Saccharomyces cerevisiae S288C: one gene and its partner. The protein of the gene in region 2 interacts with the protein of the main gene of each other region in a biochemical or structural test. Each region holds a gene or a part of one and is shown on either strand. Other genes may lie near its edges.

Region 1 (4,113 bases), on a different chromosome or scaffold from region 2:
GTTGCCAAATTTATAGTCAGCTGAAATATGTGAATCGGATGCAAATGAGTTATAAGTTGAAGCTTCAAAATTTGCTACGTGAAAAATGATAAACGATGATGAAGTAAATAAATATCGTAAAACGAAAAACTCTCTTTTAAAAAATTCATATGTAGGAATTTCATTTGATAAGAACCTCACTCTTCATATCAAATAAGTCATTAACCTGCCATGAAATGAATTATGGAAACAATGCAGCTTTTTGAAAGGAAAAGTGCGGTGGATTTTAACGTTAAGGATCCTCTCAACTAATGATTGATGCTTAATCGTGGCATCTATAAATAAAGCATGAATTGTTCTCTATAGTTACAAAGTGGTGATTTATTATAAAAGTGTTTTGATATTCACGCTTTCAACATTAAAGCTAAAAACAAAAGAAAAAAAATGAAGACCAATGCGAAAAAAAATACCAAGATTGAAGTTTTGGAAGAAAAATTATGATGATAAAATTAAGCTTTCAAAAAAGATTAAAATGAATACTATTAATTTTAAAATTTCGTTTATGGCTTACAGTTGTGCATTATTGTATTAAAGTAAGATTTATTAGATAGGGATTCCTTCGTATTCCTCATGAATTCTTCAGAAAAGTTTTTGATTTTAGTTATTGGACAATTATGGCCCAAGTACCCACATGCACAATCACAATTTGTTAAAATAGTCTTTATTGACCCCATCAACCAGAACTTGTCGGGATCCGGTAGGGAATCCAAATCTTTAGATGCATTTATTATCTCCCAAATAGGATTTCTCAAATCCCATTGCCATTCTACGCTTATCTCTTCTCCCTTACGAATATCTCTTATAGCCCTTAAAACAAATTTAACTCTACAATCATTATCTCCTCTTGGTTTTTCGTCAAGCGGTCTTACCGTTACTAGTTCCACATTGGGCTCACAACTCCGTCTTATGTATCTTGTTAATCCGCCTGTTTCTCGAGAGTCTATATATAAAGGCCAATGTGGATGAAAAAGTACTTTAGGTTTTGTCGTTCCCATCAAACGATAGTCATTATTTGGATCTGTCTGATAATTTTTTTGAAAATCAATTTTGCCCAAATATTCTTGAATTAGCTCACCTTTAACACAAGAATCTGCAGCGAAGACTCCAAAATCTCTTTCATTTGATGATTTTCTTACCTCGATGTCAGCTGACCTTGAGCTTTCCCAGTTAGAACAAACAACCCAATCGTCATCATAATGGTTATCAATAAACATCTTAACATATTTGTCCTTATACTCTGATATTGTTATTGCTTTGAATTCCGTGTCATTGGAAGAACTTACCTCATTCAGTAGTGGCTTCAGAAAGTGGCTTGATACTACCAGTTTTTCTTGCCTCAATTTTTTCCGTATACTATTGCTATTTTCAGTTGTTGGGGCGGTATAATGAAGTTGACGTTTCTTGGGCTGTTCCTCTATGTTATTCACAGACTGTTGATGCTGATTTGTGTTCGATGCTGAAGTTGTCACTATGGATGAAAATTGAAATAATCGCTCATCTCCCATTTTTCTAGGGAATATCATTGGTTTTACTTGATTAACCTGCACTTTCGTATCACTGTCACATCTTTTGCAAACAAAATCTCTTTTTATTGGATCTGATTTTTTGAAAGCATAACATAACTTGTGCTGCCACGTTTTACATTTGTTACACTGTATAAACAACTCATCCTTGGAGTCACTTGAACCGCAGATGCAACCATTTTTAGGTTTGTTATCTTCTGCTCTCATGGAGGGTGTAATTTTATTTTCTTTCGATGATTCATTGTGTGTTACCGAGACCTTGGAATTATCATCTTGATTCTGTTTTTTCAGTGGAAATGGTATGGTGGCAGCAGTTGCCAATGCTACTGCTGCTGCTATTCCTCTTTTATTTGTTGATGCCGTTTTTGATGAGCCTGATGAAGAATGATGGTTGAAAATGCCCCTGTCATTTTGAAATAAATGTAAAGGCGTTGGGCCAGCTGTAGGCATTGTATTGAATGTCCTTATCGGCATATACTGAGGTGAGGGTAATGTCTCTGAAGCTGCACTGCTGACGGACAAGGGTGTGTGATCGCCGTAATCTTTAGACATTGAACTATTAGATGAGTACGACGACGACCGCGATATGACCTTGTCTGTGGTTGTGTATGTCCTTCCTTGCCTGATATGACGAGAAGATAGTGATTCCGGTGAAGTCATTTTGAAGATGAAGCGGTATTTGTAACTTTCTGACGAGGGTACCAATCTTATTCCGGCGTTCCACGCTGAAATTATCTATGCTTTTGTCTTAAAGAGAAGCAAACAAGTAATTTGAATCAGATATATTTCCCTCCTTTCCTTTTCAATAAAAAGTGATGAGATGGCCTATTGATATCAAGCTATGAATAGGGTAGCCACCTTTTATACAAAGTTTCTTAGATGTGTATAGCCGTGCAATACCAAAATCGAGGTTCCTTATATACTTCCTAGTACTATCCAAGAACAATAATAAGGTTTCCTGAAGGAAAAAGAGGTGGTTATTGATCACCAGAAAGTTTGGCATTAAAAACAAACGACAGCACAAAGGAACTTTCACCCTACAGCACCTTCTGTGTGCATGATTACATGTACCCGAGTAGCGAAAAAAGCCAGAAAATGTGCAAGAATAAAGGTATCTCAATGAACGAGCTCGAGCGTCAAGAGACGGGTATAAGCGAAGAAGCGCAATGCCGCCAGCCAAGCAAAGCCAAACGAAGAGATCGACCTTCCATGGGGTCGCAACTTTTCCCGGTGACCTCTACATGTGTGATTGTTAGTTCAGCGTAACAGAGTTTCAACAACATGCATATACGAGTGTGCCTTCGTGCCTGATTTTGGTTGATTATCCGGCTTCCAACCTCGTTAAATTTTCATAAAGTGCATATCGTGTAATGTAAAAAGTAAAAAGATAAAAAAGACTCATATGAAATCTTGCTGCATGGAGACAAGTGCACTCGAATTCTTTACTTATATTTTCGCTCTTGAGCTCGTCCTTTTACTAGCATATCAATATCCGTTTCATTGAAAAGTGGCCTTAGAAACGCGGACACATTAGTCTCGTATGTCGGCTCTCGCCTACTTCTTGCCTATTGTTTCAGTGCCTTTAAACCTTATTTCCCTTCCCTCGCGTGCCATTCGGCGATCTCGATTTTCCGCAAGGGGCCTCAAACGACCGACATCAAAAACCAAAACAAAGGCCAAGCACATCGTTTAGAGAAGAAATTTTGGGGGTAATATGTTTTAACGATGCCATATATGCACCAACTTCTAGGGGAAAGAATGCTTTTGACTATCTCTCCTTCCTTGCATATAGGCCAGATTTTTCCTTGGATTGTGCTGTATTACTATTGGCTCCAAGGAACCTCACAGTGAGCTTTTCCAAACCGAAAGATTTCTCTTGCGATTTCTTCGTATGCAGTAATAGGGTTTTTTGAGAATATACCGGGCATAATGTTGCAGTTATCAACTATCGCACATACAGTAGTAACAGTTCTGGTTGTCCTAGCATTAATGCCGTTTTAATTTTCTGCAGAGTATTGCCTGTGGACAACAGTAACTTATACGAATAAACATACCAAGTTAGGATCTGAGCCGGGTAACCGAACACAAAGATCTCGTTCTACTTTTTTTGACCTCTTGATGAGTTGCTTAACAAAATCAGTAGCCGCCAAGAGCAAGAAATCATAAAATGTTCAAGAAAAACAAACATAAAAATATATTGGAGGGGAATAAACGCAAAGTAATGTCTAATAAGTTAAATTAAAGCCATCGAAAAAGCACTGTATTAATAGAGCAGTAGCTATTTAGGTGAATGCATAGTAATATAATATATATGCGAACATATGTATGTCTATGTGTATATAACTATATAACTGTGCCTAACGATTCGTCAGTCAAATGACAAATTATTAGAAGGTTACATTTCCAAAATGTTGGTTTGAATTGGATAGATGAGGCTCGAACTTTTCCCGTGATTTTTTTAATGTAGGTATCAAGAAATTTCTTGGAGTAAAATCTGGCATTGAATTAAACGAATCGCCTAAAGAGGCATCACCCAAAACATTATCACCTC
Region 2 (4,213 bases):
GCGGGAGATGTAATCGCCGAAGGCACTGGTTTAGGAAAAGCCCTTAATATTCCTGGCAAGTACATATTGAAACCCTTTCCATTATTGAGACTATTGAGCGTAACGCTGTTCATAAGCTCCCTTGTCCTACTGGCTAATCCCACTGGAACTTTGAACATTTTTTCCTACTCATATGTGGTTATGGTGGTCTTATTTATCTGCGCTAAATCACTTTTCAATTATTCTTTGCAGTTTATAGGGGAGGAGACTTCCTCTTTGTAAAATCTAATAGGGCGTGTTCACAATTTTATGCGTCGGGTGACTTCAATTTGGCGCCCGTTGAGATTATCTAAAAAATGCTTTTATTTATTTAAGCGCTTTTTGTTTTGACGAATGTATTTATGTTTTTGTATATATATGAGCGTTTTTTTTTTCCAGATTTAACTAGTTTTCTTTTTCACCTGTATGCACACCATCTTTTATTCCTATATAATGCCTTTTATAGTACTTTGAATCTTCTATATACAATTTTTTAGGTTTTATCTTTTAAAAAGTGTTTATTTCATTAATTTGAATCTTTATTCCCGTGTTGCTTGGTCAGCTCATTCAACTCCTCCTCAGTGACCAAGTGATGCTTATGATTCTTTGGTTTTTCAACCAAATCGCCAGATGTAGGGTCAACTTCACAGGAGGGGACGGATACAAGCCAATCATCCTTTACCACGTCATTCATTAAAACTCTTTGCTTTGGTTCTAAAGCCAACATTCTGCCTATTATTGTCCGTGAATGTCTTGGCAGTAGCCTTAATATTTTATTTGGCCCCCGAACTATATCATCTTCGTCCTCAGGTTCCTCAGTAAATAACCTAAATGAGTTGAAGCTCTTTTTTGGAGCCTTCCAAGGAAATCTTTTAAGGACCATACAGTAAAATATAATAGCGATAGACCACACATCTGCTACTCTTGGATCGTAGGATGTTTGTTTCAATAACTCAGGAGCCAAATAAGGGTCAGAACCCACGATTCCATGTGATTTTACAATGGTATCTTCGTAAGGGTATTGGAACACTACAGCGCTCCCAAAGTCAATCAGTTTCAAGATGCCATCTTTAGTGACGACACAATTGTCCAATTTTAAATCCCTATGAGCTAAGCCCATAGAGTGCAGGTAATTAACGCCGTGGCACAGCTGCTTGAAGTAACAGTTGACTTCATCTTGTGTCATTAGGTTACTCATGACGAGATTAAAAAAATCATATGGCGCATACTCCATTACTAATAAATAGGTGTCACCTTCAGTCAACATATCTAGGGTTTCAACGATATTTTCGTGGTGCAGCGTGGAACCAATACAAAATTCAGTGGTAACCTTCTTAGAATAATTAGCTAATTGAGACTGATTAGTTCCTTCATTGTTTAAGTGTGGTTTTCTGAACATTTTGCAAGCAAATAACTTGCCGTCTGTTCTTTCTACTACGGACACTGAACCGGAAGCTCCTTCGCCTAATTTTCTACCAGGAATACCATATTTTTCTAATAGCTCCACTGGGTTATCTGTTTCGTATAACGCTTTTCCGTTACTTTCTACTATATTTTCATTGGTGTTCAAATTGAGCTTCGGTTTTGTAGGGGTGGATCCACGGTTGTGATGGTGGTGATGATGATGGTTATCGTGATAATCATTATGAATTTTTTTGAAAAATCTTGTTAATCTCAAGGATTTTTTCTTTCTTGATGAGGTATCATCACTACCGCTTGAAGAATTATGCTGTAGTTCCACGGACCCAGGGGTGGAGGCTTGAGAGTCCATGAAGTGTTTGTCTTCAATCTGTTTCTGTAGTATCTCTACGGGATGCATATGTGCCTGGTATGATAAATTCGAAGAGGGTGTATCAGATTTTGCAGAAGACACTGTAGAAATGTTGCTATGAGCTGTAGAGCGAACGGGGTGAGGATGGTGGAAAGCATCTTTTGAGCCTTGATGAATGTAGTTTATTGGATTGTGAATACTATGGGGTAAGTGGGGCACAGTGTGTCCCGTACGAACGGGATTATGATTGTTAGGTAAGGGCCGTGAAGGAGAGTAGTCAATAGGAGCTTTTTTAGCTGAAGTAGGAGAAATACCTGTCAAAGTAGAACTTGCTACTACGTGTGACTCCTTTGACAACGCGCCATTTCCCTGGGGGCTCTTTCCTATGGTAGATCTTCGGTCGTTGGGTTTGTTATACTTTATTTGATCCTCTTGGTCAGAATCTGTATTCTTTTTTGAAGATCTAGAAGAAGACCTTGAAACATCATCTGTCTTTGAGTATGATTGGTTACCACCTCCATTGAATATTTTAGCCGATAAATTCTTCAACTTAGTTGGCCTAAATAATGAAGACAGCGAAGTTGATGAAGATGAGTGTAATGGAGTTTCCTTAACCATTATGCTATGAATTTCAGGCTGCTCTTTTCTGTCCTTCTCTCTTTTTTTCCCTCTCAAATCCTCTCAGCTTATTAGCGCACTAAAGAGTCAGTTTGGGTGAATAGCGTAATCAACTTATGGAAAAGAAGAACACTAGAATCCGTCACTATTGGCTGCAAATAAGTATTATATCTTTTTTCAATGAGAAATCTTGCTTGCCCCATAACAGGTACAATACTTAGCAAGCCAGGAAGAGTCACACTGCAAAATAGATATATGAGAAGCGGAAGTAGCTTTTCCCCTTATAGATGTACGCCGTTCGATATTACCCGAACTGCAAGAAAAGCTTCTCCAAATATCTACTGGCCTCCATTCAAGAAGGCAATTAAAGAGACTATGTGTACATGAATGGGAACTTGGTATGATGGTAGTAATGCTTTATTAGTCATTCCCCTACCCCCTTGCGCAACCTATCATTTTACTTGCCAGATGTGCTCTCCACTGTTAGAGCCTCTTCGCTGACAAAGAATGGACGAGTACGCGAGCGGTGAAACGAGCACTGCAGGCAAGAGAAAGAAAAATCATGCATGATTTGGAAAGCGAATAAGAAATGACGCAGTTGAGTGTTTGAGTTGGAGCCAGCTGTGTTATTCACAGGTTCATTTCGAGAAAATAAACGCCTTTGGTGGAAGCGGACACTATATTTCACATTTTAGCTGTAGAAGTAAAAAATTTATTTCAAGTTTACTTAATCCATTCAAGCAGTGCTTTCCCGGAGTTTCGAATAAAAGACACTGAGGACTTTTCAGTTTGAATTTGAGATATGTTGTGGAAGTTTCCCAATACCAGAACCGCCTTTGAAATCCGGAAGTTTTCTTTTATGTTCTTGTGAATTTTCTATCCGAGTTTTAACTTTCGATATTCAGAAAGAATAGCCGTTCATCTCTTTTATATTATATTTAGCGATGTAATGAAAGTAAAAAAACAAAAAAAAAAAACAACAATAATCAAATGACGCATATCTAAATATTCCAGAAAAGAATATAAATAACGAGGGTGATAAAGCGGGTGCAATTAAATTCTCTGTAGTACAAAAATATGTAATAACCGCAGAACTTGTTAGTGGAATCTCTTTTAGATGTAGCTTGAAGGCTCAATTCGCTCCCCTTCGGTTTGCTGAAGGAAGAACGATGCGGAATATTACTTTGTGACCATGTTATGTAAAGACAATTTCCTATTTTTTTTTATTTCTGCCCATGCATGGCTTATTGATTCACTAAGGATGCGTTATACCTTGTTGTGTTCCAATCCCAGTAAAACGTCAATTCCTTTTCTTTGCTAACTTTGGAGACGTCGCAATCTTCATAGAAGCTCACACCTCGTAATCTGTCTTTGGCATACTCGTAAAATGTGCCCTCTTCACATGAAAAACCTGGACCACTGGAGCAACTCTCTATAGGAACCACAGCATCGTTGACCACATAACGGACGTACGAATCGTTTGAGCATTGAAACTTTTCTGTGTAGACTCTAGCTCCCTGAGGAATGTACCACGACCTGTGGTAGGAATGATCACGAAAGGGAACATGATTGGTTGTTAAATTTCTAGTGTCATCAATCAATCCAGCAGTTGTCAAATAATTTAGAATATCAGTATCGTGCGTAAAGCTCAGCCAAACTTTTTGGTCCAAGTGCGCACTTTGTCGTATTAGCTTCACTGTTGCATTGAACAAATTAGCACCTATAGATTTAATCAATTTGTATCCGGGACCATTTTGGTAGAAGCTCGTCAAATCAGTCTCATAAGAATAATGTATTAACTCTGCC

Evidence for each region. The genes of interacting proteins can lie anywhere in the genome.
Region 1: the proteins of RTK1 (region 2) and SET4 form a complex in vitro, tested with the Saccharomyces cerevisiae proteins (one large-scale study listed by BioGRID).

The regions. Positions count from the first base shown.
Region 1 is NC_001142.9:223,164-227,276, reverse strand, and holds SET4 (Set4p), read right to left. Parts: upstream 2,223-4,113; coding exon 540-2,222; downstream 1-539. Other genes in the region: protein kinase IME2, read right to left, coding at 3,950-4,113. UniProt on the Saccharomyces cerevisiae protein: Putative chromatin regulator.
Region 2 is NC_001136.10:404,800-409,012, forward strand, and holds RTK1 (putative serine/threonine protein kinase RTK1), read right to left. Parts: upstream 2,408-4,213; coding exon 545-2,407; downstream 1-544. Other genes in the region: MRX9 (Mrx9p), read right to left, coding at 1-158; putative acid phosphatase DIA3, read right to left, coding at 3,652-4,213. UniProt on the Saccharomyces cerevisiae protein: Probable serine/threonine-protein kinase that may be involved in ribosome biogenesis.